Linked DNA regions of Tamandua tetradactyla. The protein of the gene in region 2 purifies or fractionates together with the protein of the main gene of each other region. This does not show direct contact. Links are inferred from orthologs where the notes say so. Each region holds a gene or a part of one and is shown on either strand. Other genes may lie near its edges.

Evidence for each region.
Region 1: the proteins of NEURL4 (region 2) and ZNRD2 purify together in Homo sapiens (co-immunoprecipitation; 4 studies listed by BioGRID and IntAct, with this or other methods). This does not show direct contact. The link is inferred for Tamandua tetradactyla from reciprocal best matches to the Homo sapiens genes NEURL4 and ZNRD2.
Region 3: the proteins of NEURL4 (region 2) and CCP110 purify together in Homo sapiens (affinity purification with western blotting; 4 studies listed by BioGRID and IntAct, with this or other methods). This does not show direct contact. The link is inferred for Tamandua tetradactyla from reciprocal best matches to the Homo sapiens genes NEURL4 and CCP110.
Region 4: the proteins of NEURL4 (region 2) and MAPK6 purify together in Homo sapiens (affinity purification with mass spectrometry; 6 studies listed by BioGRID and IntAct, counting the BioPlex papers as one, with this or other methods). This does not show direct contact. The link is inferred for Tamandua tetradactyla from reciprocal best matches to the Homo sapiens genes NEURL4 and MAPK6.

Annotation. Positions count from the first base shown.
Region 1 is NC_135335.1:8,949,449-8,955,786, forward strand, and holds ZNRD2 (protein ZNRD2), read right to left. Parts: upstream 2,053-6,338; 5' UTR 1,810-2,052; coding exon 1,713-1,809; intron 1,617-1,712; coding exon 1,465-1,616; intron 1,365-1,464; coding exon 1,280-1,364; intron 881-1,279; coding exon 537-880; 3' UTR 505-536; downstream 1-504. UniProt on the Homo sapiens protein: Might play a role in mitosis. Antigenic molecule. Could be a centromere-associated protein. May induce anti-centromere antibodies.
Region 2 is NC_135332.1:61,192,844-61,200,070, forward strand, and holds the start of NEURL4 (neuralized-like protein 4), read right to left. Parts: upstream 3,021-7,227; 5' UTR 3,012-3,020; coding exon of another isoform or gene 2,515-3,011; 5' UTR 1,375-2,514; coding exon 1,093-1,374; intron 247-1,092; coding exon 1-246. Other genes in the region: uncharacterized protein LOC143688138, read left to right, coding at 2,515-3,011, 3,362-3,469, 3,597-3,683, 3,909-3,997, 4,095-4,346, 4,734-4,892, 4,981-5,118, 5,385-5,571 and 1 more; ACAP1 (arf-GAP with coiled-coil, ANK repeat and PH domain-containing protein 1), read left to right, coding at 6,546-6,598, 7,113-7,170. UniProt on the Homo sapiens protein: Promotes CCP110 ubiquitination and proteasome-dependent degradation. By counteracting accumulation of CP110, maintains normal centriolar homeostasis and preventing formation of ectopic microtubular organizing centers.
Region 3 is NC_135349.1:40,987,757-40,994,677, reverse strand, and holds the start of CCP110 (centriolar coiled-coil protein of 110 kDa), read right to left. Parts: upstream 3,001-6,921; 5' UTR 2,766-3,000; intron 2,081-2,765; exon of another isoform or gene 1,946-2,080; 5' UTR 1,883-1,945; intron 1,190-1,882; 5' UTR 1,031-1,189; intron 1-1,030. Other genes in the region: GDE1 (glycerophosphodiester phosphodiesterase 1), read left to right, coding at 4,560-4,820.
Region 4 is NC_135340.1:66,877,306-66,884,296, reverse strand, and holds the start of MAPK6 (mitogen-activated protein kinase 6), read right to left. Parts: upstream 3,015-6,991; 5' UTR 2,830-3,014; exon of another isoform or gene 2,780-2,829; intron 2,478-2,779; exon of another isoform or gene 2,195-2,477; intron 220-2,194; exon of another isoform or gene 147-219; intron 1-146. UniProt on the Homo sapiens protein: Atypical MAPK protein. Phosphorylates microtubule-associated protein 2 (MAP2) and MAPKAPK5.

The DNA.
Region 1 (6,338 bases), on a different chromosome or scaffold from region 2:
AGGACATAACCTGGTACACTGCTACACACGCATCATTAGGTGAGAAGGACCAAAAGTGGGAGTCAGGAGATGGCTCGATCGTGCAACTTGATGTCAGGGTCACCACAACCTCCTGCAGGGTATGACTCTATGGGGCTGGCATGAGGTGGGAGAGGATATGGGCTCAGGATGCAAAGGGGATCGAGATCTCACTCACAGGCAGGTAATGAGCAGTGGAGGATGGGGTGCTGCCAGGTCCAGGCTGGTGGCCCACCCATCTTCCTCTTGCCTTTGAGGAAGCTGTGGCCCACACCCCAGAAAAAGGGTTCTCATTTTGTCCATTCTCTCCCCCTTCACCTTCTGACTGGGGAATCTGAGCAGAAACAAGCTCACAACCCATCTCTCAGAGACATCAAGGAAAGCAGATGGGGGAAGGGTGGGAGGCCAAAAGGAGGAAAAAGACAAGTGGAGCTGGGGCTGGGACACACACTGAAAACCAAGAAAAGAACCACACACATGAACAGGTGTTTTTCTAGAGGGTTTTTCTCAGGGGTGTCTCAGTGCTGCAGCTGCTGCAAGCTGTGCAAGGCCTCAGCACAAGCCCGGATCAGACCACAGAGCTGGATGCTCGTTTCCAGGGAGGCGCTAGAACCCAGCTCAGCTGAGGCCCAGGTCAGCTTCTGCAGAAGAGCCCCCTGTGTGCAGGCCAAGACATCTGCATCTGGAGGCACTGCCGCTGGGGGTGGCACCTGGGCTGCCTTGAGCCCTGCTGCAGCTCCCTCACAGTGCTCTGGCCGGGGTACCGGAGGCTGAGTAGCAGGTCGACAGCCTGAGGGGAGCTCCAAGGCAGAAGCCAGCTGGTGCTCCCGAGCTTGGGAGAGGGCTGCCTGGGCATTCAGAGCTAAATGAGGAAAAAGCAGGTGGAATGGTCAGAAGTCCTGGCCCACCATAGCCCAGAGCCACCTTCTCTCTTGACTGCTCTGCTCTTTCTGTTCTTTAAGTATTTTCTGTACTCCTCTACAAAGCAATTCATCCAGTCTCTATTTTGTGTCACAATTATTTATGTCCTTGCTTTATCTCTCCCATCAGGACTTTGCCTGATAAAGTTCAGACTCTCCCACTGCGTCTCGCATACAGGAGGTGCTAAGTGTTCTTACTGAATGAATAGTCCTCTTTAGAGCTAAAGGAGAAAGCACCTTACCTCTGCCCACTCCCAGACTCCACTGTCACCTCTCAGACCTACTGTCCCCAGGCCTCCATCGCCACGATTCTTTCCTACCAAGCACACTCGGGCCCTCACCCGGATTATCTTTATCCACGTCTGAATCGAGCTCCTGACAAGCCACACAGTAGATTTTCCGCTGTTTGTCTTGGAGGAGGATCGTCTAGGGGTCAGAAAGCACACGGGGCAGGAGTGAGGCGCTGGGCGATAGGGTGCAGAAGGAAGAGCTGGGGAAGGGCCCAGCGGCCAGGTTCTCGCCTCACCCCGCAGTCCGCGCACGTCTCGCCCAGCATGCGGTAACCGCGCAGCAGGTAGTCGCCCATGAGCCGGGAGATGCGATCCTGTCGCTCCCGTCGCGCCTGCAACACCTTTGTCTCCGCCTCCGTCGGGGGCTCCCAGGAGAAGTCGTCGACTTCTGGAGGAAGAGAGGCATAAGGGGCCGGGGGCTCTTGCCGGAACGGGCTGACTCCAGTACCCCGCAGCCACAGGCCCCCGCAGCCTAAGTCCTCACCAGCGCCGTTTAGGGCCATGTTGCCGTTGTCGCCGCCGAGCTCACCGGAAGTGACGCACAAGCCCTGCGCCCTCCGCCGCGGCTCGGGCGCCTCCATGTGGGGCTGAGGGCGGAAATGGGGCAGCCGAGGGCGCCTCAGGTCGCGCGCTGCCCTGAGTGGGGCGTTTCTGGTCGCAGACTTGACCGTGCCTTGGAGGAGCGCCCGGCAGCTGCAGCCCAGTGGGCGGCGACTTTTCGACGGTCGAGGCCAGCGGAGGAGCGGAAGTGGTAGGAAACACCCTTGGCGTGAGAAATCCGCCTCCCCTGGGGTTTTTCCTTTCCGGATAGGCGGGGCGAGCAGCGACGTCATCGCAACGACAAACGACAGTCATAGCCACGAACCGCCCCTGCGCGCGCGTGGAGCCTGTCGGGCCTCCGTGCTTCTCACTTCTCCATCGGGGCGCTGGGGAAGGAGGCCGCCTATTGCTTGGTTGACCATACGTTTTGGTCAATATGTGTGCTGTCAATTCACTTGAAATTCCCGCAAATAGTGTTAATCAGGCCGTTTAAGAGCCTCATCCTTCCGCCTACAGAATTGTCAGCATCCCTTCCTCATTGCCTGAACTGTCAAGGAGGGTGAAAGGTCTGAGATTTTATCCTACTTGCCGGCTAACAAGTTAGCCTGCAGTTTAATGGATGCTGGCACGAGCTTCGAGTCTCCTGGGTCAGAGACAAGGAACTTTATTACTCACTCATAGCAAGCAGCATGAACAGGACCATATTTGCGTCAGTTCCCTTTACCCTGGAGTCTTAAGAAGGCAGTGCTGGTGGAACTAGATGGACCCATAACCATGGGTTATGTTACAAGAGAGGAACCCTGTGCTTAAGGAACCCAAATATTTTATAATGGGCTTTAAGTATATCTGCCCTTGGCTCTAGAGCACCAACGACGATGGTCAGGCTCAGATGAGGGTGTGACAATTACGTCGTGGCTGTCGGAGGCTGAAAAAGTCCAAACCTCTGCTCCCCAGTCAGCTGATCTGCACACCATGACTCCTGCAATGGCTTTACCATCAAGACTTCTGAGAACTTTCTATGTGCTATCCCTTGTCAAGAATTGTGTGGAGAATGCCCTGAGGGAGCTGGGTGCTGGGGCAGTGGGTGCTGGGGCAGCTGCACCCTCCTGCAGAGGCTGCCCAGAAATGCACCTTAACCAGGAAGCAAAAACTCTCCTCCAGCCTTGCCTCTCCAGCGCCCTCTTCTGACAACACTTAACATTGTGTCAACAGCAAAAGAAAACTAAAGGGCCCAGGTCCGAATGCACAGAGCAGAGAAAGAGAATAAATTTGGAGCTGAGAGACAATAAATTAATAATTGGCACAAGATCATTAGTATCATTTTACAGGTGAGGAAACTGAGGCTCCAGAGAGGGGCAGCAGCTGATCCAAGCCTGTGCTAGATTTTGAATTCAGGTCTGAACCTGAATTCACAGCTCTGCTCTTCAAAGCGTTTAGAAAGCAGGTTGCAAAAGATTATCTATGGGGGGTGCACAGGTGGTTTAGGTGGGTGCACGGGTGGTTCGGTGGTAGAATGCTCACCTCCCATGTGGGAGGCTCAGGTTCGATTCCTGGACCATACACCCCACCCAAAAAAAAAAAAATTAAGGAAAAAAAAGATTACCTATGGTACAATTTTGTGGTGATAATTCTATGACCCATAAATGTGCATATATTCCCCAGCCTGGAGGAATACACACCAAAGATCAGTGGTCCCTTCTGAGACATAAGGATTACAGGGAGTTCTCCTTGCTGTATTATTAGGTTGAACAGCATGAAGTTGCTGTGTTTGTAGGTTAAAACCAGTCAGATATTGGTAATGCCATACAGTTCAACATATTTATTTTTGTGATGTAATGTCTGAAGTTTTCATTATGAGTAAGGCCTCCCTCTGACTTTTGTCTGTGGTTGCATATTTTCCCTCATAATAAACTAGAAGCTTTAAGTTTAACCAACAGAGATCCAAAGACTTTGGGGGAAAATATCTGCTGTTTAACCCACTGAAATATACCAAGAACCACTTGTTAATTGGCCATGATTTGTTTGTGACCAACCATAGGAGAAAACTGTCATTCATGTTCTTTCTGCTTGTTACATTTACACTATGAAATACAGTTGTTCTATGAGGATGTTATCTTTTTATAGAAAAACTGCCATAAATCGATGGTAGAACTTATGCGACAGTTGATCAGATTTCATTTTCAAAAGTATTTGAATTATGTTTTGTCCTAATTTTATGTCTCAGTATTGAGAATTAAAACAGTTCAGCGTCTTCACAAACCGTAACTTTAAGGGAATAATTCTTTTGCCATTATTTCCCCCAAAAAAATGGTTCTGTGGTTTTTGTTTGTTTTTGTTGTTTATTAGTTAATTTTAGCAAATATGATGCCTAAAAAAGAAGGTGCTCGTGATTCAGGCCTATTGTGGTAGGCAAGAGAATGATCCCAAAAGATCCTAATTCCTGGAACCTGTGACTATGTTTCATGACAAAGGAGGAATTCAGGTTGCTAATCGGCTGACCTTAAAATAGGGAGATTTTCCAGGTGGCCCAATGTAAATCGCAAGGGACCTTAAAGTATTAAACAGCTGAATATACGTTCCTCTCAAGTGCACAGGAAACATTCTCCAGAATAGACCATGTGCTAGGCCATTAACCAAACCTAAACACATTAAAAAGGATAGAAATTTTACAAAATATGCTCTCTGAGCACAGTGGAATGAAATTAGAAATCAGTAACAGGAAGAGATTTGGGAAACGCACAGATACATGGAAATTAAATAACACACGCCTTACTAACCAGTGGGTCAAGGAATAAATCATAAGAGAAATTAGACAATACCTTCAGGTGAATAAAAATGAAAGTACAACATACTAAAACTTAAGGGATACGGCCAACGAAGTGCTTAGAGGGAAATTTATACCCATAAGTGCCTGTATTTAAAAAATAATAAAAGATCTCAACCCAATAACCTAACCTTCCACCTTAAGAAACTAGAAAAAGAAGAGCACACCAAGCCTCAACCAAGCAGAAGAAAAGAAATAATAGAAATCAGAGTGGAAATAAATGAAATAGAAAAGCAATAGAGAAAACTAAACCAAGAGTTAGTTCTTTGAAGAAATCAACAAAATGGACAAATCTTTAACTAGACTGACTAGTTCAAGCCTGGGTCAGCCAAAGGACACAAACCTTGTGGCTTCAGCTGGAAAGCCCTGTGGCTGAATCAGAGTTCCCAAAGGTGAAATCCATGATTTCACTGATAATGGCCTTGTCACCTGACAGAGGAGTTTGGATGGTGATGTTTTCAGCTAACAGTGGAAACATATCTGGCTCACTCAGGCAAACGGCCACAGCGAGAGCCAATTTACTGATAAGCCCGGCTGAATTCAAGCTGTCGATGGAGTCGGCACCACTCACAGCCTCACCATATCTGCCTGTCTCATCATCTCTCCAGATTTTTAAGGCAAAGGCTACTACTGCATGCCAGGCAGTGATTCCTGCCACAGGTTGGTCTGTTTCTCTTGCAGTGATGGAGGGTAAACAACATTGCCACTTTCTACTCCTGACAGGTTGGCTTTATGGGACCTTTACCTGCCTCCTGGGGCTCTAGACAGTGTCTCACCACTGTTGTCTGTTTTCCAGGTTAAAGTGTTGCTGTTGCAGCACAATCAAGCAACTCAGGCCACCTCCTTGTGGTTCTTACAACTACACTGGCATGTTTTTAGGTTTCTGGACCATTTCAAGTCTAACAATGGTGCACCTTTTATCTCAAGAGCCTTCCCTTCCCTGCCTCAGATATATGGTCTTGTTAAGCCTTGAAACGGCCTCTGCAAAATCTACTCAGAAACATTTCTGGCTTCCCCTCTCTCATCTTCTCCTGGTCCACACACCTCAGTGAGGCAGTTTGATCACTGAATGTGGCTGTCCCAGGGAAGGGATCATCTCTTCTTGGTCATGTTACGGGAAACCATCAGGATGAGAGGGATGAGAGTTTAGACAGATCAGCATTGACCATTCCTGGGCAGGATGCTTTCTTTACCCTAACAGCAGCCCCTGGCCAGCCTGGGTGGTAAGCCCTGCACATGGGAGCCCCATCCTTGGAAATTCAAACTTAACTGTGGTCCAATCACCTGGATTCTCTTTTTGGACTGACATGGTCCTAGATCGGGAGGATAAGTGGGCCACCTGGTTGAGTACCCCTCTCTCTGCGTTCCCCAACAGTGGCCCATATGTAGAGTGAGGGACGTGGGTCTCTCTAAGTTTTATAAACGCCCTTATCCTTGTTGCACCTGGACCTTCTGGATGCAAAGTCTGGGATGATTGAGAAACAGGTGAATTTATAGCTCCGGAATGGGACATATGGATTTTGTGGCAGGGGAGAGAACAACCTCAGTAGCTGGGTAAGGAACACTCCAGACTCTGGGAGATGGAAAAGGAGGGACATTAATGGCCATTGTTTTCAGAACCACCCCTGGGGACATCTTACCATGAATACACCTAGGTCCAACTCTCCCAAACCACTGCAAGTGCCTTAAACTTAACTGACTAGGCGATCTGTCAGTCTTCCACTAGACAGTTCTGACCCTGAGTTG
Region 2 (7,227 bases):
CCGCCCATTTACCCAGAGGCGCAGCTCTCCAGCAGCTGTGCGCTCCACGCCCACATGGTCCCCTTCGCCAAGCTGGTCCAGGTCCTGACCATACTCCTCCAGCACAGAGCGTCCATCCCTCAGCACCGAGCAGCCTGACACTACCCATGAGCCCCCCTTCAGCCCTGTGGCACTGCTTGGGAAGTCCAGTACACTGGGATCCAGCGCTGTCACCCCAATCTCAATGGAGCCGCTCCAGGAGTTGACCTGTGAGATGAGTGGTGGACAGAGGCTCAGGATGGACCACCAGTGGGTTCCCCACCTCCAGGAAGTTACATTTCACAGGCCACAGCAGCTTCTCGCTGTGTTACTTGGTGCTCTCTCTCCCCAAGAGATTAAACCAGAGACTATAGACCTGCAGGTGATTTTCTAGACACTGTCTCAGTGGTTATTGGGGCTGGCTGTCTTCTAACAACACTGCATTGTCCTCGGGTCCTTGGTGTCTACCACACTGTCCCTTCACCTACCTTGCTGGCTAAATTTCCTGGCTCCAGCTCCTGTTTCTTCTAACTTCCCTGGTCTCTGAGGCCCCTCAACCACCCAAATTGTTCACATACCCCTTGATATCATATAGTACTCTATCCTCTGGCCCAATTCTCTCCAAGACTCTAGATCTACCCAGGTTCACGCTCCTCCCAAATTTATCTCTGTGAGCCTGGCCTTTTCACTAAATGACACACACACACCTCCCTCTTCCTGAGCATTTTACTCACGCAGCTTTCTGGCCTTGTCCCTGGGTTTGCCTTAATTGATTTTTTTCCCCTTTCTATCTCTCTTCTCTTGCCATCACACTCTGGCATCTCTCACCCTCCATTTCCAAGAAATTGGATCTGCTCTCCAGCTATTCTAACATCCCTTCCCTACTTCTGGATCTCTTTTCTCCTGCAGACTGCATGCTTCTGCTTCAAGGTCCTTTTCTATCATCTGGTGACAGACGGGCGATTCCCCCCCTCTACCCTGGGATGTGGACTCTTCTGGGCTGTCCTACCCCGTCTCCCTGTGGTCCCCTCCCACCACCCTCTGCATCTCGGTTCCGCGACAGCGGCTCCGCACCTTTCGGTCGATGCGGACAGTGAAGACGTGTCCATCGCGCAAAGGTTCCCGGCTCAACACGAGCCCGTGGTTAAACTCCTGGCCCGGCTGCTGCCGCCGCGCTGTACGCCCACAGGCCGAAAGGCTCACCAAGCGCCCGGTGCGCGGGTGCAGCTCCCCACCGCTGCCGAGACCCGCGCCGGACCCCGATCCCGGGCCGCTCTCGCTGGGCCCCCCGCCCCCGCCCCCGCTCGGCCCTGGACCTCCCCCAGAGCCCCCACTCCCACCGGACCCCGCCGCCATCGCCGCTGACACCGGGGCCGCGCGACAGCCGCGCTTGGCGGCACCGTGGCAACCGCGAGGGACAGGCACCCTGAGGAAATAGGAACGTGGGCGGGGACCAGAAATGCTTTACGGCACCCCCAGGCAATGAGGCTTCCCGGGCTAAGGACCTGACTACCACGATAGGAACAGAAGGACGTCGGGGTCGGGTTGTTTGCTTTACGGCACGGTGAGGTAACGGAGTGGCTCTTGAGACAGGCGAACACTTGGGCAGGGAGCTTTTGCGACAGTGGAAAGAGGAAACGACTGCCCCAGGCAACCTTACGACAGAGGGGTGCTGGCGCCTCAACGCTCGCAGTTTTGCGGCAGCGGCCCGGACGATCCCGCCCTCCATAGAAGGAAGGATGTATTCGCTTTACGGCAAGAGGAGGAGGTTTTTCCGTTTCGCTCTTCAAAGCGATTTGAGCCACGGTTGGATGGCCCGGCGAAGAGAACCGGCAGTTTTGTAAGTGAAAGTCGGCCCTCCGCACCACCGATACCGGAAATGTCTTGCGACAGTAGCGCCACACTTCTCGTGAGAGACAGAGGGAGCCGATTTTGGGGGAGAAAGGAAAAAAAAGCTGCGGAGGTTTCCATTCAAGCCCTGCTTGAGCCCCAATTTAACCAAACTCTTCGATTTTAAAGCTACGAATAAAGAGTCCAAAGAAACTATGGCAGTTTCGAGCAACGGCGTGAACAGTCCTAAAAGATCCCCCAGGCATGTTAAGTCCCAGCTCAACTCTCCCACGCTCGCGTTAATGATGGAGGGCTGTGACGTCACAATCCACGCTTCTCGGCCCACACCCCCACACCCCAGGACCCTGGTTATGATTGGCCGATTCAGAGGAGGGCCGTGATGGGAGAGAAGGGCGGGAACAAATCCTGGAGACAAAGAAAGAAGATCTTTGGGTGGGACCAAAAGGGAGGGGCGAGTAGGGGGACTTGTAGCCTGACGTCCTTATACCCGGTCTCCCGCCCACCGCAGCAGTGAGACAACCCTAGCCGCTGCCCAACCGCCCCCGCCCCACCCCGTTATGGGGCGGGGCCTCGGGGGCGGGGCCATGTGGGGGAGGGAGGCAAGGCGGGGCCGGGTGGATAACAGTGGCCCCCGGAGGTGGGGCCATGCCGAAGGAGACTCTGGGGGCCGCTGGCGGCCTCAAAGGGGAATCTCCCGGAGGAACAACCCAGGAGGTTCCCGGAGGAATCAGAAGGGCCGAGGCAGGCGCCGGGCTGTCCTCGGGAACAGTCCTGTTTCACGGCTCTGCGCCTTCCCAGCACTCCGGGAGTGTCGTAACTCATAGTCCTGGTACCAGCCAGCCCTCTGGGGGAGTCGCGGTCCTCGGCTCGGGACCCAGCCAGCCCCCTGGAGAGGTTGCGGGTCATGGCCCTGGGTCTGTCATATACCCTGCCGTAATCAACACCCACTGCCCTGGAACCAGCTTAACCCGGGCGTCTAGCCCCTGGTCCGGGGGGTCTGAAGAGTACATAGAGGGGTGTAGTCCGCACTCCGGGCCAATTTGCTCTCCCTCCCGCAACACAATAACACGTGAAGACCGGCCCCGGAGCATCCTCAAAAACAACAGCTGTGTCTTGATGCAGAAATGCCCCAATGTGGAAAAGTAAGGGGCCCAGCCCTGCGGGAGAGCGGCCGAGAGCTCCGGGGGAGGAGTTCGGGACTCCGGAGAGGGCGGGGCCTGGGGAATGGGAGGAGTCCCGAGAGGAAGAGACATTGGGAGGGAAATTTGAGGTTGGGGCCTTGGGGAAACCCGCAGGGGCCCGATTAACCGTGGATACACAGTACCCAAGTAATCACTACGTCTGACTCCACTCCCAGCCGCTTATATTTCTGTCCATACCGCCCCTGGACCTACAAGGGGGCGCAAAAAAGCTTTCTGAAAGAATGAGGAAGGGCTGTAGGAGAGGATCATTAGAATGTTTCCTCCTCGAACTGCCCCCCCCCGCCCCCCAGGAAAAAGGCCCAGCGCTGGGATGAGATGAATATCTTGGCCACTTACCACCCTGCTGGCAAAGACTACGGACTTATGAAGGTGGACGAGCCCAGCACTCCCTACCACAGGTGCTGAGCCCTCAACTCTACCCCTTCCACCCAGACTCTCCTCACTATGCCAGGGGGTTGGGAAGGGAGGAGAAGGCCAAGAAGCCTCAAGTACTGGTTGCTACTTGGACTCCCCCTCCCTGCATAGCTCCCCTGTCCACAGGCTGCAGGACAGCAACGAGGACCTGGCCACAGGCTCCTCCTACGCAGTGACTCCCCAGGCACTGGCAGAGAGGTGAGAGTCCTGTCAGAGATCATGTGAGGCAGGGGGACCTCCACCCCTTGACTCTGGGGTCTGAGCCAGCTCTACTCTTTGGACCCCAACATGGGTATTGCTACAGTTCTCATCAGGACTGGCCAAGATCCACCTAGGTTGAGGGGCAGCTGGCTCAGCCCCCTCCCCACCTACCCTCTTGTTACTCACTTCCCTTCAGTACCCCCAACTAGTCTTTCTCTTCAGGTTTGCAACAGTGGACAATTTCCACCCCAAGGTCCTCCAGAACCGTGAGAACAGATATTCAGGGTCTCTAGACAACTTTACCAAGACACGTGAGATGAGGGGTGGGGATTAAATGAGAAGGGGAGGCGGAGTCAACCTACCAGAGAACCTGGGAGGGAAAAGCCAAGCTCTCACACTGGCCCACAGACTCCAGTGATTTTGACCAGCACCGCAAGGCACACTATGATGAAGGGAATTTCCTCAGGACTCAGAAAACCTTGCCGTTGGGTAATGACGATCGCTACCACGGGGGTAGTGTCACTGCCAGCAATGGAGGTCGAGGTGTGATGCCAGACCCCGAACCCAAGCCTGTGGAGAGAGGCAGTAAAAGAGGATCAGCCAGAGGAGGCAAAGATGAGACTGGCCTAGAGGCCAGGAGTCACGTTCTAGAAGCCAAAGGTTAGCGATGGGGACTCCAGCGACTCAAGGGGGTTGTAGTGCAGAACCAGTTGTTCTCTTCCCCCACCAGAGTTCCTTTTCCCCTGTGGGCATCAGCCCAGGCCCCTGCTGCTTGAGGTGAAGGTGATGCTGAGAGGTGACCTCAGGGCAGAAAGAGGACAGCTAGGGTAGGATCCCCGCTCAGGAGAGCCTCAGGGAAGTCTGACTGGTGGGGAAGAACACAGAGCCCCAGGGAACCGTAGGGGGTGGGAAGTCCCAGAAGGTTTTCTAAAATGAGAGAGGTATGAAAAGTGAGATGAGAACCTGCGAGGTGGCCCACAGGGGAGACCTGAGGGCATGCAGGGGCCAGATGGCCATGCATTAGATTTGGCTTAGATAAATTTGCAGATGCCCATGCCGACAAAAGTCAGCCCCCAGCCTCGATCCCCACCAAGTTGGAGAAGGAGATTGATCAGCAGCGCAAGGAGTACTACATCATGGGAAGATACCTTCGCTCCTGCCCCAACCCGGAGCTTGAGGAGGACACAGACAATGAACAGCAGGACTGTAAGAGCTGGGCCAAGTCAAGAGGGGTAGGGAGATGAGGGCCAACAGCCTGAGGAATGCTCCAACCCTGATCTCATGATGCTTTCAGGCTGCTCTGCAAATTTGCCCTTGGTGATTGAGGATCCCATAAGCACTGAGGTCCGCCTGCTGGACCACATGGAAAGCCCCTTTCAGGAGCACAAGGCTGCAAACTCCCTGATGGGGACAGGGACACCATCACAGCCCGGTAAGGGCACCAGGATACCATCTTTCTGGGCCTGGCTCCTGGCAAGCTCCTGTCCTCACCCCCACATTCTTCACCCCCAGGGCTCTCCTTTCAGGCCAGTAGATCAGGGCAACAGGTGCTAAGAGGCCCGGGACCCAAGGCCCTCACTATACAGGAGAGGAAACAGAAAGGCTCAGAAGGGCTGGGACCCCCTCCCATCCCCTGGTACCATCCCCTGGACCCATGCCTCCTCCTTGATTCCTCTCTACCACCCCACCCCACTGCAGGTACTCCCCTCCCCAGTGGGTCCCAAGTGGTGTCCGGATGGTGTCAATGGCTAGTAACCAAGAAGCTGAACTGGCAAAACCCAGCGGGCTCAGAGAAGGAATCTGTAAACAACCAAAGCCACCCACCCCAGAGCAAGTGCAGATGTGAGCTTCGGCAGGGGCATGGGTGCTTGCACTGGCCAAGAAGGTAAAGAGGCAGGTGGAGTTGGTTTGGGGGAGTCTGGGGTGGGGGGTCACATGGGCAAGCTCTCAGGCCTGCTGCAGGAAACCAGTAACCCAACCCCTTCTCCTCCAGATGAAACCCTGCAGCTTCGATGGAGCTAGAAGGAGGAAACCAGACAATGGGAAACATAACCAGCCAGGGGAGGGGTATGGGCAACCTTCCCCTGCCCTTCCCACCCTAGGGGTGGGCAATAAAGATAGAAGAGCAGAGGCCTGGGTGTCGTGTGTTGAGTGCCAGCCTGGGCCTGGTATGTCATCGAGGAGAAGGGAAGAGGGAAGGAAATTCACACACAGGAAACTACAGGCAGGCAGAACAGAGTGAAGAAAGCTTGGAGCAGCCCGGGGCGCTAGGTTCAACCAGAACCTAGGAGCCCGAGAAGGCCCACGCGGCGGCAGAATGGCAATGAGGGCCACGCACGATTCATTGAGCTGGTCCTAACTGTCCCAGTGCCATGATCTTTAATTCTTACCACAACCCTGGAGGTAGGGTTATCATCCCCCTTTCCAGGTATGGAAACTGAGGAATTAGAGAGCTTTCCCAGGGTCACACGCCTCTACCTGACAGAGCTGGGAATTGAACCAAGGTCTGCCAGGCTCTGAAAACTCAACCACGAAAGGGAAAAGAAGTAGAGAGTCTGGGTAGGAAGGTGACAGCAAATAGTCTCTGAGGGCGGTGCTGTGGCTTCTCTTATCACAGCCCCCCCTCCTCTCCCCAGGCCCCGCCCCACCCCTCCCACTTCGGGCCTGGAAGTGTGGGGTGAGCGCTCCTCCTACGACACCCCTTCCCTTTGGGGAAAGGATTGAGCCCCCTCCAGGCTCTATCTGGGAGAGAACCCTCTCCTCCTTCACCATCATCTCCCCTCCTGGGGCCGGAAGGGCCTCCACTCGCATCCTCACCTGCCTCGCCTCCAAGGCCTGCTGGCCCCGCAGCAGCCAGAGATGACAGTCAAGCTGGATTTCGAGGAGTGTCTCAAGGACTCGCCCCGGTTCCGGTAAGTTTGTGCAGGTCTAGCAGAAGCGGGTGGGCAAGGTCCAAGTTCCCTCCATCCTCCACACAAAAACAACCTTCCCCAGGCCAGGTCTCCTTCCAAGGAGTAGGCCTCAAAGGGACAGGAGCGAGTTTGCAGACCAGCATGGTACCTCCGCTATCAAGCCCGGCACCCTGATACTCTCTGCCCCTGGCCTCTCCAGCCTCATCTCGCTCCCAGAGCTCACGTTGCCTCCTCACTGGTGCTGGGACCCCTGCCCCTCCCCCAGCACCTGCTCTAGGGCGGTTAGCAACTTCCTGCCCTGGCCGCATCCACCCTCCTTCTACCCTTCCTGCTCCGGCCTGGGCTATATCTGACTGTGTGCAGAGTGAGCCAGCAAGAGGCAGTGGGTGAGCAGGCCTCCTCAAGCCAGTGGCTTTCTCTGTCAACACCCACCACCCCCCAACCCCGGCTCCTGCCCCTGCGGAGGTTGATGGATCCAAGCACGGCTCCTGTGACACTATCTCCCCTTTCCCAGAGCCTCCATCGAGCTAGTGGAAGCTGAAGTGTCAGAATTGGAGACGCGCCTGGAAAAGGTGATCTTGAAGTGGAGAGGTCACCCAGGAGAGAGGGAAAAGGGTGGGATTAGGATG
Region 3 (6,921 bases), on a different chromosome or scaffold from region 2:
TAAGTGTTCATTTTAAAATAATTACCTACTTAGAAAAAGAAAAGGCAGGGAAATTGAATTCATGATTAGGACACGCAACGATGAAATAAATTAGATAGAATTTGATACTAGTCTAAGCCTCAAACTACTTAAGAATTCAATACAGAACAGTGCCAGGAAAAAATATAGCTAAATTAGAAATGAAGAAAAAGAATATTCAAATTACGATTAAATTATTTTTAAAATGTTCCTGCTTCTGATGAACTGGTAGTCTTATCAATAACAAAATTTCTTCCTACCATCCCATCTATTGTAATTATTTCTACAATCAACTTATGTAAAGGGAGCTGAATTTTAAAGAAATGGTTCCTTAGAATATGAGTGATATATTTTGCAATCTTAAATTCACAGAACAAAAGTAAAAAACAAAATACTTTCCTGCATGATAACCATATAAGACCTGGCTTTTCATTTAGATTTAAACTCACATAAAAATATCTTCACCACCAAAATATGCAGTAACTATCAAGTAAGAGAAATTCAAATGAACCCATTTTTGTTAAAATACTTCAAAACATTTTTAATATAATCATGCACCATGCATTCAGCATCACACACAAATAATGCAAATAGATAATTACAATTAATGTAATATACTTTCTCTGGATAGACAAGCAAAGCATGAAATTCCATTTTAAAGTTCTGGGAAATTTAAAGAAATAAAATATCTTTATGACAACAATTTTGTTTTTCTTCAAATAGATGTACCTCGCTGCTTTACTAATACAACGTGTATGTCCTTTATATTACAGATATACGCAATATATTATCACAGCATATTTTATGGCATGTGGTAGTATATTAAACATTCAAAAGAAAAAAGTGCTAATTTGAAAGTTAGGGAGATTACCAATTGATCCTAGAGCATGACTGGATCTTTCTTATTCTTCAATATCAATTTAGATGTCCTCCCAACTTTCCCCATCTAAATTAACCCTGCCTCAATCACTATCACTTTTCCCTGCTGTTTCCCAATTTTCACAGCACTTACCACTATCTGAAATTATCTTGTTTATTTCCTTGGTTTTTGTCTGTCTTCCTCCACCAAAACGTAAGTTCCATAAGCACAGGTAACTTCTCAGTGTTGATCACCACTGAATCCCCATTAAATAGAACAGTATCTGCACACAGTAGGCACTTGATAAAAGTACTGAATAAAAGAATTACAGTAATTAGCTCAAACAACAATATAAACCAGGAAAAGAGTGAACTATATAGCAAAAGAGAAAGCAGTAAGGAAGAATGGAACTTAAAGAATGATGATTTATGGATGACCCTAGTCTCAAGAGAATCTGAAATTACATATTCAATATATGTAATATATTTCAATCTGTAAACTTGAAAGGCAATCCTTTAAAAGGTGTGCAGTCCACATTCCATATTGAGTAAGCGAGAGGGCCCTACGTTTCTCACACTACAATTACCACAGTTAGCAAGGCTTTATTCTAAGGGAGAAAGACTGAGAGCAACCCCAACCACAAATTTACAGCCCCATACTTTACTACTGGGCAATACTCGTCCACTTCAATGAACAATTTGTCAGCTACAGCATGTTCAAACATGCCTTGTCTTCTCCATTTATACCAAACAAGTACTACTGCCCCTTCTCCATGAGCCTTTTGGTAAACCCCATGCTATCTGCTCCTCACCAGTCCTCTGCCAGAAATGTCACTGAAGGGAATGGTAAAAGAAACAAGAGAACAGATCCTGTCTTATTTTCAGATCCTCTCTGGCTGTTAATCCATCAGTCCTCCACAAAATATAAACTTCTTATAGAGGCAGAACAGGGGTTGGTTTCTTATTCAGACATATACTAGCCGTGGGCTCTTGGCAAGCCACTTACCATATCTATGCCTCAGTTTCCTCATCTGTAAAATAGAGGTAGCATATCTGTCTCAAAGGGATTCTGTGCGAATTCAATGAGGAAATGCAATGGAGGGCAATTAGAATGCAGGTCACGCAGAAAGTCATCAGAAATAGAGGCTGTTTGTACTATGAAGATGATGATGATGATTTTTATCACTAGGGGAGTGCTTGGTTCCTGGTAAGATTCAAAATGTGATTTTTTTAAAGGGGGACATAGAAAGGAGGGCAACAGCTTCCTTCTCTGTTTCCAGACCCCTCCTCTTCAAATTGCCAAATTGGGGGGAGGGCGGAAGGGCACGGGCTGGGGCTACAACTAGACAAGAAAAGCTAACACCTAGCAACATCAGCACAATCAAGAGAATATGCTTGATTATCCTCACGTTTATGCCCCAAAGACTAGCAAAAGCAGGGTAAACGGCGCTCCTAGTGCCTCTGGTTGTGGTAACCGGCGTTGAGAAACGGCCAGTGCACACTGGGGACCCCTCCCTCTCCATCAGCGTGGGAAAAGAGAAACGGCCCCAAACAGCTGGGCAAGGTTTATTTTCAAAGGACCCCGTGCCCTCACCCCAGAGCCCCAATCCCACCTCTCCAAGCTCCTCGAATACGGCTCTATCCCGAGGGCCCACCAAAGCGGTGCCAGCATCCGAGCATCACCTCCGCGCCCGCTGCCGCCGGCCCCCGGGACTGCCGCCTCACCACACCCGGCTGCCTTTCCAGAAGCTCGAGGGTCCCGGAACCCAATATCTGACTTAGGGCTCAGTGCTTAGCTGCCCTCAGCAACGCAAGGCGCCAGTCCCACCTCCTCCGGTGGTCTGTCAGCCTAGATATGCTCAGGATAGAGCCCCTCCTCACGCACACACCTGGTTCCCCCACGGCCGGGTCAGCTTTTATGCCCTCGCCCCGGGCCTCGTCGGGAAGCAAAAGGCTCAATTGGTAGCGACAGAGCGCAGTTCGGTCCACCGCCGCCTTCTCCTCCTCTTCCCCGCCATATTACGGATCTCAGGCGGCAACGCGGGCTCCTGGCAACCGCCACGGTAGCCGCCGCCGCCGCCCCCCAGGCTCCACCTCCCAGGGCCGGCACTTCCGGTGATTGCATCTTGGGCCGTTGACGCTGTTTGGCATCCAGTAAAACTACAATCCCCGAGGTGCATTGCGCGGCTAGTGGTGCTCAGGCCCAATGACGAAGGACGACTTCCTTACGGCGAGCGCGGTGCACGCCGGAAGACGTAGTCTTCACTGTAAGCAGTTCCCTCCAAATTTTTATTACCGTCGGAACGCTCCTTAAAGACTGAAGTCCCTTGAATTATTCATTGAAGTTTTCATTTTTTGCTTATCTGTATAGACATTTTCTGTGTGGTCGTTGGAAAACATTGCATTCATCAAAATGATTTCTCCGTGTTTAAAATATTGCTGAATCAGCAGATGCCAGCTCAAAACCTTAAGACATTCTTACCCTTTTGCAAATAAGTTGGAAAAGACGTCCAAAGAAGAAAGGTAACAGGTACAAGATGGCAAAAAAGCCCCAGGTATTTTACCAAAGTTCTCTATCCAAACAACACTCCACCCAGCTTTTCAAAATATGATTTAGTGGCCTAAATCATTTCCTAACTCAGCTTTAACTTCTTCCTCTCTTTCTGACCCTACTTTCAGTGCTATTTTGCACGTGTAAAATGGAGATTTAAAAAATACTTATCACAGGGTAGTTGTGAGTAATGCAAAATGCCTGGCATATTAACCTCCACTCTTAGCCCCTAGTAAAAGGAGAAGTAAGATTAGGAGGAGCAGTAGCAGTAGAAAGGTCACAGGCCTAAAACTGGGGTAGCTTGATATCAGCCCTGACTCGGTCATTAACTGCACAAAGCATTTCACCTCTCCCGGCCTGGGTTTCTCATTTATAAAGTGAGGGATCTTTAAGCCCCCTTCCGATCTTGCCTCCTTTGTTATGTTCTTTTATTTCTTCAGAATCTGAAAAATCCTCCTAAAGTCGACTGAAATTCGTCTCCGAAGATAGTATTACCTACTGAAGTTCTTGTGAAAGTAAATGTGAAAACGCATAATAAAACATTTGAGTGCTCTAGAATTGCTAGCTGTACTTCCTGTCATTTGCCCTCACTAGAATGTAACTCCATGAAAGCTGGGATTCTGTCCATCCTCTTCGCTGCTGTGTCCCCAGCACCTGGACGGATGGTTGGCATATCTCGAATTGAATTGAGTAAATGGTCTCAGCGTCCTGCTGCTTCAAGGCCTCCTGGCCTCAGTTTCTTTGGGAACATAAAGGAGTCACTAAGATCCCTTTCAGTCCTACAACCGTACGACGGATCTTCTATCTCGCCCTTTCTCTCCTACCCAGCCTGGAATCCGTGTGGACGCCCAGACCCCAGAAGAGCCCAAGGCCACTTTGGAACTCGAACCTGGGCCCGCCTCCGTTGCCATGGCAGCGGCTCCGCCCCCTAGTGCTGGAGATCCCGAGCTCTGATTGGCTGGATAGCCGGTACCGCTCCGGATGGACCGGCAGCCGCCATTGTGCGGCGCGGGTCCCCTCAGAGGGTGCCACCTCTGGCGAACGCCTTGGGCTCTTCACTTCGACCTTCGCCCTCCCGTGCGGGGAGCCCGGCGGGTCCGGGACTCCCGTCCGTGCCGGTGCAGGCGCCGGCATGTGGCTGTGGGAGGAGCAGGGGGGCCTCCTGGGCCCCTTCTCCTTCCTGCTGCTGCTGGTGCTGGTGGTGACACGCAGCCCCTTCAATGCCTGCCTCCTCACCGGCAGCTTCTACATCCTGCTGCGCTTCTTCAGCTTTGAGCCGGTGTCCTCCCGCAGGGCCCTGCAGGTGCTCAAGCCCCGGGGTCGCATCTCCGCCATTGCCCACCGCGGCGGCAGCCACGACGCGCCCGAGAACACCCTGGCTGCCATTCGGCAGGTGAGCTGCCCCCACGCCTCGGGCCACACCGCCCCTTCCGGGGGCTCGGACCTCTGCTTCTCTTTTCGGAGGGTCCCCAGTCTCCTCAGGATAGTCTTCCTAGCACCCCCCTCCCGCTCCCATTCATCCACAGCAATGCGTTCCGATGACCCTTGATCTCCCCCAGGGTCTGGGAAAACTCCCGACCTCAGGTATTTATGGAATACTTCAGCATGTATTTATAGAACGTCTGCTAAGTGTCAGGCACTGGAGCTACCGCCATGAATGAGACAGGTAGGGTCTCTGCTTTTACGGAGCTTACATTGGAGTGGGGAAGACTGTCTTAAACAAGTGAACAAACAAGCCAGATACTAAGTGCTGCGAGAGGTGCAAGGAAGAAGTGGTGTAATGGCATTAAAAAAAAAACTGGTGGCAGGGGTTTGGGGGGAGGGGTAGTGGAGAGTGTAGGTTATGCCAATTAAAGTAGGGTAATCAGGGAAATCCTCAGCGAAGAAGTGACATTTGTACCGAAACGGGGATTAGGAAAAAAAAGCCAGCCATAGAATCTGGGGAAGACTTTCCAAGAAAAGGGGACACCAAGTGCGAAGATCCCGAGGTGAGAATGATCTTGGAGTTTTCAAGGAACAGAAGAGAAGTCAGTGTATGAATGAAATAGGAAATGTCATCAAGTCGCCTAGGGTCTAGGTCAGCAGTTGAATTTATTTTAAATGGATCACCCTTAACAGAAACTGGGGCTTTACTTGTGTTCTAAATGACCTTAGTCATCTCCTTATCACCCCACCCACCAGCCCAAACACACACACCCTGGCAGCCTGACTGGGCGGGGTTAATCAATTTCTACTTCCCCTTTTCACAAGGTATTTCTTATACTTTTGATCCCTCCCAACTCCTGGTGGTCTCCTGACTTCACATTTTGCAGCTTGCATAGTAAGAGAATTTTTCAGTTGACTAGGCCCTTTTGCATACATAGAAATATATCTGATCCTTTCATTTCTTTGAGACATTATTTTAACATTGAATGGATGAGAAAACTGAGACTCAAACGTGCACATCTCCTTCCAGAATTCACCTTTTCTAATTCCAAGCCCAGTGCTACTTGTCATCAATTAGAATATGGTCCAGGATGTAAATAAAAACTTGGACTGACTGTCCTTTCTTTGTGCAGCTGGAGGTAGGCTTGTGCAATGAGCAAGTTACTTAAGACTCCAAACAGGATTCTTACTAGGGTACAGGCATCAAGGTCCCTGGGGCATAAAACTGAAGAAGGCACTCACTCTGAGTTGTGCAAGTATGGATCAGTGTCTCACAATTGAGTGTCTCCTTGAATTATGCACCCAGGAACCTAAAGTTGTGGACCTGTAACCCATACCAAACTCTGAAAACAGATGTTCTAACTAATTGTTATAGTGTACTTTGAAATGTATTGCTTTTTTGTATATGTTATATTTCACAACAAAACTTGTAAGAAAAAAGAAAACTGCACCCAGAGTACCTCTCCTCACCCCGTCCTCCAGCCCTTACCTCAGTTTCCCTTTCTGTAAAATGAGAATATTTCCCATTTTACATTTACCCTCTAGGTTGTGAGGATTCAGTGAGATAATCCACGTCAAGTTCTTGGCCTGTGGTAAGACCTCCACAGACATAAGCTGTTTATGCCAGGTATTCAAAGGTGGCTAGATTCTTTAAAATTGCCTTAGCATAAAGGTAAAAAACAATTAAGTCTGAAGAGGAAAGGGTGTTAGGAAGGCAACCTTTGAGTCAGTGGAGGGCACCTGAGTTTAGGGTTTATAAACCAAGTTAAATTTCTATTATGAAGGAAGAGAGACAGTAAGAGTAGCTTCCCTAGCCTTCCATTTAAAAATAAATCCAAAGATACTGAAGAATGTGTTTTGCATTCTAAACTTAAGTTCAGAGAGATTGGATGATGCATAGCAGATAGTATTGTCATGAAAAGAAAGATGTTATTTACTATAGGAAAAAAGCAAATAATTGTCATTGGCTTCCATTTCAACTTACCTTTGTGTAAGTTGCCTTAAAGTACAGCACAGTGCTAACTGAGGACAGAAGGTACTGATGCATATGTACTGATAGGGCATATCTG
Region 4 (6,991 bases), on a different chromosome or scaffold from region 2:
AAACAAGCTGCTGTTCTCTCAATCTTGTTTTTACTCCAACCTGCTACACAGTGGCTGTTTTAAAATCAGCTAAAATAACTTTTACCAAATTTCAATCTAAGTCTTAAATTTAAGGCATGAGGGAGGGCAAAAAAAACTGCACTTACAGAATCAGCTTATCCTTAAAAAGGCTGATGAAAAATAATGGCTATAACAATGATCTATTTCAAGTTGTCTTTTCTAAAACAGAAATTTCATACAAATTACATGAGAAAGCAATATGTATATAATTATGCTTTAATCTCATCAGAGTAAAATAAAGTTCAGAGATGTATCTGTTATATATTATACTCCATTGGCACCTTTACAACACTATTTAAACCAACTAATTATGAAAACAACATATATAACCAATGAAAACATAACGTCAATTTTTACCAACATTAAAGCATTATGTGTTCTTTGTTAACCTGTAACAAATGCCTCTCAATAGTAGCCAAAGAACTACTAGTATCATTTAACTTCAACCCAGCAGCAGCAGATTTAACCTTTCCTCTCAACAAATTTACATAATTCCACCTGGAAGATATATGGTATCTAAAAACAAGTATAGATAAAGATATGCATACAATAAAAAATATATATACACACATTTTCAAACATATTCAAAGAGATCTTTTTAAAATACAATTTTAGAAGCCATTACTTTTTTTTGAGAAACCGCTGTTCCTCTTTAAAGAAAGTTTTAAAAAGAAGAATTATAATGTGGACAGAAACATTTTAGCCTATCATTTAAAAAAATACAGTGTATTAAAGAAAAAAAAGAAGGCCACGTAGCAGCCGTGGGCAGGATGAGTCATCACCCAACTAAAAACTTGCAGCAATTCTAAGCTTCCTCCTACCCTACCCCATCCTTTCTGAAAGGTTACCTGAGTCAGCAAACCTTAATACTGTCAGTTTATGAATTCTCACGATAACTAAATTCATGTAGAATGCTGCAACACTTTTAATACTAGCACTTGTCTTTAGAACATACGCTTTTTCCATTGCAAAATTATTCTTCAAGTCAATCTTTCCTTTCTCAAGATTCTTTTTTTAATCACGGAAAGAAGCCAAAGACAACTTTCAATCCTCTTTTACCAGTAACTAAACTTCAAGTATCCTCATACATAAACTTTAATTTAAACAATTCTCCATTTTCCAGAACTTTTTTTCTAAATAGTAATGTCTAGGTGATAAAACATGTCCTGTTCAAATCTAGCATATTTCCTAGATGATTGCAGTTTCTGAATTTAGGGCACCAATAAGCAATTTTACAAATTTCACAAGGCAATTTTTATTAAATGATGTAACATATATATGTGAAAGGACTTTTCACTCCTTGGCGCAACAACAAGCACTCCAAAAACATGCTTGAACATCTACTCCTTAAAGATTTCTTAGAGTTTCGTCCACTCAATTCACAATTAGTTTTCAAACATTAAACTCTGACATTTATGAGAAGAAACTCTAAAGGCGGGTTCCCTTTCAGGGCTAGGCCCTGACAGGACCCTACATTCTTCTAGTCAGATCATTCTTACCACCTCCAGTTTCCCAACGTTGAATAATCCAGGTTGAAAAGAGAAGATATGTCCCATTAGAACTTTAGAAAACAAAAACAGGTTAGAAGAAACAGCAATCAGAAAATTACTCTGAAGCTGTTTGCCCTCCATTTTATCGCCTGTTATTTTTTTTTTCCTCCCTGACAAGTCATCCTGTACCCATAAAAGAATTAATACTAAAACTTTGACTGTGACTTAAGGGCACTATTAACACTTCAGGAAAGCACATGAACTCTGCTAATACGTGGTTTCTAATTCTTCCTCACCAGTTCCCTTCATTGAACCTTTCCCAATAAGCAAGCAAAACAAAACACAAAAGTAAAGGAAAAGATCCTGCTTCATAGACCTCCCACGTAACACCTGAACGAACTGGGTCTTACTAAGTAAGCCAAGGAACAAAAGGAGGCCACAACACCTTTACTTTTCAACGCAACTCACACAGCGGAAAGGAAAAAAAACTGCCAGCAAAATGAAGAGGCCCTTTTCCGTGAACCGACAAAACAAGTTTTCATTTGAGTGACTCCTACAGACCACCACTCAACGTCCCGGAAAGAAGCTAAGGAAAGGCCTCGGGTGGGGGTTGGAAATTCCGTTCTCAGACGAGTTTTCTGTACCTCATTAATGGCTAAATTCAAAACTTGGGCAGAGGACTTCAGGGCTCTGAGATGAGCCGGGTAAGCGGCGCGCGCGCTACGCAATTTGCCGAGTCCACCGGAGACTTTGCCCGGCAGGAGTCAGCTGAGGCCGAGTCACCCGGGTGGGAAGGGGGAGGAGACGCGGGAGCATTTCGAAAGGCGGCGTGCCAGGAAGGCGAGACTCCGTGCCACCTCACGCTCCCCCGGGCCGCCCCTCCCCGGCCGCCGCCCCTCGCCCGCCGGCCGGGCCAAGCTTCGAACCCTCAAAGCAGGGCGCGGGCGGCGGTTCCGCAGCCGGCTGTGGGGCGCCCCGGGACTGGCGGGCGCGGACCCGCCGGGCGGCCGGCGAGAGGCGTGCCGGGTGGGAGGGGCGCGCCGGCCTCTCTCCCGGCCCCACGCGGGGACCCCGGCCCGCCACCCGCCGCCCGCCTCCTGGCGCGGGGACGCCCCAGCCAGGCCCGAGCGGGCGGGCCGACGGGCGGGAGACGGAACAAAAGCGCCTTTGTTGAGCGGCTGCGGCCGGAGGGTCACACACAATGGAGGTGGGAGCCGGCTCCGCCGCGGCGCCCTCCCGAGTCGCCCAGCTAGCGCCCCTGGCACACGTACACACACACACTCACGAGACTTCTCCGACTCATCGAGAGAGTGCGGGGCCCGCGGACAGCCCCCAGGGTCGGCTCAGGTCTCCGGCTGTGCTGGCGGCAGCGACGTCTCCGAGGCTCCCGCTTTGCCGCAGTCGCCGCCATGTAACCCCGACCCGCTAGAGAGGGCGAGGGAGAGGGGGCGGGGCTTCTGGCGCCACGCCCCCTTCACGTCACAGGCTCACTCCACGGGTTCCCCCGCCTCCGCCCCCGCCCGGCCGCGCGCTCTTGCACGCGTCGGAATTTCCAACGCCCGTGACTGGGTTCGGCGAGTCGCTTGGATGGCCGGGGGAGGAACGTGGGCTCGTTGGCCGCCTCGGGTGGGCTGACCCTGCGGGCCGCCGGGAAAGCCCGGTGGCTTAGCCATCTGTGCTCTATTACCTGCCTTGGCACTGGAATATGAAGGGATCAAATTCCCTGCGAAAGTTTACTGAGCTCCTACTACGTGCCAGGTATTGGGCAATCCACGAGAAACAGGCCTTCGTCCTTGCCCATGGGAACGGGCCGGGAGCAGGAAGGCTAGAACTCAAGATAGATTGGCTGGAAGGCAGTAGGCCAAAGCAGTAAAAACCAGGTGCGAGGAAGGGCTCTAATTCTGCCTGAGGTCATGGAGGAAGGCTTCTTGGAGAGGTCGCCCTTGTGGGGGGGGGGGCGGGGGGATGCGGGGGGCAGCATTCGGCTGCAGCTAGAAGGAACCGATGAAAATCAGAGGTGGGGGGGTTCCTGCGGAGGGACCAGTGTGAGCAAAGACTGGGAGGCAGAGAGTTACTTGGCTTGTTGCAGAAACTGGGACTAGGCCAATGCAACTGAAGCATAGAATTTGGGAAGGGGTGTGCTGTAAGATGTAGTGGAAAAGGTAGATTGGTACTTTCTTGGCTGAAGAACAAACATTTTGCTTATGATGGCTTATTGAGTCCAGGATCATTTCCAATATTTATGTGAAATTTAAGGAGGTATTTATGAAATTAAATCAGAGAGGCAAGTCAGCATATTTTTTCGGTGATTTAATCACCATCTTGATGAGAACCAGACACGACAGCAAAGGATCTTCCAGGGTGAAGCAGAGACCACTTCAAGGATCACATGGTGGCTTGAAGTTAAATGATTGGAATGAGATGTTTGAAATCAGTACCATCTGAGTACCAGGTATGAAGAAGTAGTTGGAAAGTGGATAAAAACAAAAGAAAAGGGAGGCTCGTCTAAACTGCAAAACGTCCAACTTCTGGATGAGTTCCTCTGCCACAAGAGCTCCTTACCTGTGACCTCTGTTCATCATTGTTACTCCTGTGGTAGACTCCCCTGGAATTCCTAGCACAGCTTTTCCCCCACTCTACCTTTGTGCTCCCCTTTCCATCAGTTTGATCACCTAAGGCACACAAACACTGTGCCTTCTTTCATGGAGATTTTAATGTAGCATCAGCTCTGACTTCAGTAAAGACCAACAAAATAACCCTTAATAGAGAAAGTTCAAAGGAGAAGGTGGAGTTATAACAGAGAAGATAGGATTTAACAAGTGAGTATGACTGCTGAATCATTATATTGATATTTCTTTTAGTCTTCAGTGTCTTGGATCAGCTAAAAGAAAAAATCTAAAATTATGGAACTCTAAACCATACCAAATTCCAAAAGTTGTCCTATAACTAATTGTTGCAGTGTGGTTTGAAATTTATTGCGTTTTTTGTATATATGTGAAATATAAAAAAATTAAAAAGAGAAAAAATAAAATAAAAATGATCTTGGTGATGAATACAAAAAAAAAATAATAACCCTTAATAAAGCCAAGGAAAGTTTATTGCTCTTAAATATAGAAGAGACCTCAGTAAGGGAAAACACTACATTGATAGTCTTAGAAGGGTCTCAAAAAAGGGAGGTTAAGAATGGGCTATTTATAAGATTTGAGGGGTCTCCTTTATGGCAGGCTTTCCAATGAGAGGGCCTGATTGGTACTGGGCTAGCTTTGTGATATAATAGTTTAGGAGGGGTAGACACAGAAAGGGGAGAATTTTGAAGTAACTCTAGAAGAGTAGTTGTTTGATAAGACTAACAGAACAATCTTGTTCTGAGGTGGGGCTGTATAACCTGATGAAGGCTAGTTCACCCAGTAGTTAATTGCTCAGATAAATGGATTTTCAGGGAGTTCCTGAAACAACAAAGTTATTTCCAATTTCATCTTCCTGGGTGAGAATTTCTTGGAATTAAAGTCACACTTATGCAGATAGTCAAATTGTCAAGTCATGTTAATATATCCAGTCTTCATTCTTCTTAAACCTGTTGTGTGGCTATAAATGGTTGAAATTCTTAGTTTTTCCAACTGCAGAGTATGATCAATCAGTAGTGAAATCCTTTTAGTGGTTTCTGGCCTGCATTTTTAAAAATGAAATAGAGCAAACACAAAATAAGAGAGCATCACACATAATAAGGGTAAACATAATTTCATGATATTTTTGTTTCAGTTATGTGTCATGCTTCAACAGATCTAAAATGTCATCAATTATGAGACAATTATTTTATGTACTCTAAAGAAAGAGAAAATGCTATCAAAATGATACTTCATTGCTACATCCTGAATTCAGCAATATTAAAATGAAGGAGGTGCTTCTTAAAATTGATGATATATAAAGTATATGTAAAATGTGCCTATTGGATCACAATATGAAATGTATTTCTGTTTGCTGCTGTGAGTTTCCATAAGAGTTTGTAAGCCAGTGTTATAGTGGAGAACACAGGTAACTGCACCATAAGGTAGGATGAGATGAGTGCTCCTGAGCAGAGATACAAATTGCCTGCTCTTGTTGGAACCTGATAGAAGGAACAATTAATGAAGACTGGGACATCAAGAAAGGTTCAGCTAGAAAAGAGAGCTTTTCAGCTGGCTTAATTCTATCTGGTAGTATCAGAAAAAAAAAGGCATTCCCAGATAAGACAGTAGAATGTACAAGGGAATGAACTAGTAGGGCACACTTTGGGAAATGGCAGAAATCTGAAGAGACAGGTTCATGGTTTGTGTTCTGGGGGAAAGTAGACAAGTTAGCACCAGATTGAGAAGGCCTTGAACATGATAACAAAACTTTTGGATTTTATTTTAAAGGCAGTAGAAGAAGAATTTAGATGATAAAAGTGCTATTTTAGAAAGATAACTCTGGCAGTAATGAGGACAGTAGATTGTATGAGCAAGAGGTTGGAAACAATGAGAAGATAGAAGAATCCTTTGGGTTTTTTTCTGCCCTGCATCCAATCTCCCTTATTCTGGTGACAGTACTCTGATTTCCTTTAAGAGACTACCTTTCCCACTCACATGTAAATCAGAATTCTTACTGTTAAAATAAACAGAAAACTCCATCCAAATTGACTTATGCATAAGAGGCAGAGCAAAAGAATATTTTGAGATGGTTGCTGCAACTCTAGTTGGCATGGGAGAGGTAGACAATTTAAGAGAGATTTTTAGGACAGAAACAGCTGGTGTTGGTGAATGCTTCTCAGGAAGGGTTAAGTCTTAACCCCAGCTACTCCCACTTTACCTGTTTGAGTTTAAATTCCCTGTTTAAATTATTTAACTTTTTCCAATTTGATTACCAACTCCTATGAAGATAAACTGTCCAATATTACAGTGATTTTCAAAATTGTGGGGAAGATAGGTTTTTAATAGCATAGTCCACTAAGTTTGATGCCAATCCCAGGAAAGTTTCTAATAAAAATCATTGAACACAATGGATATGAGCTCTTGGGGAAAATGGAGCAGTTAATACAAGTCATCATGAATCCCTTCAAGTAAGTCATTATGAAGAAGTACCACTTCTTGATAGGATTATTTATCGCTAACCCGGGATGCTGGTGATTTCAGGAAGGCAAGACACCTTTGTGGATAAAATGGAGAGATGTAGGTTTAGATTATGGCAGAGGAAGGTCGATTCAAAAAGTGCTGCTTAAAGGAGGGTTGATAATATTGAGGGAAGTCTTAAAAGTAATTTTATCCTTTGTCTAATCCTGAGTTATATTTTTATCGGTGTCAAGTTAAGATTCCAAATTTAAGGAAGATGCAAAATTCAGAGAGACCGGAAGAAGATAGATGACAGAATTATTCAAAATCGTCTCTGCGGGTCGGAATGATTTTTTTTCAGATGAAATTTGACTATGA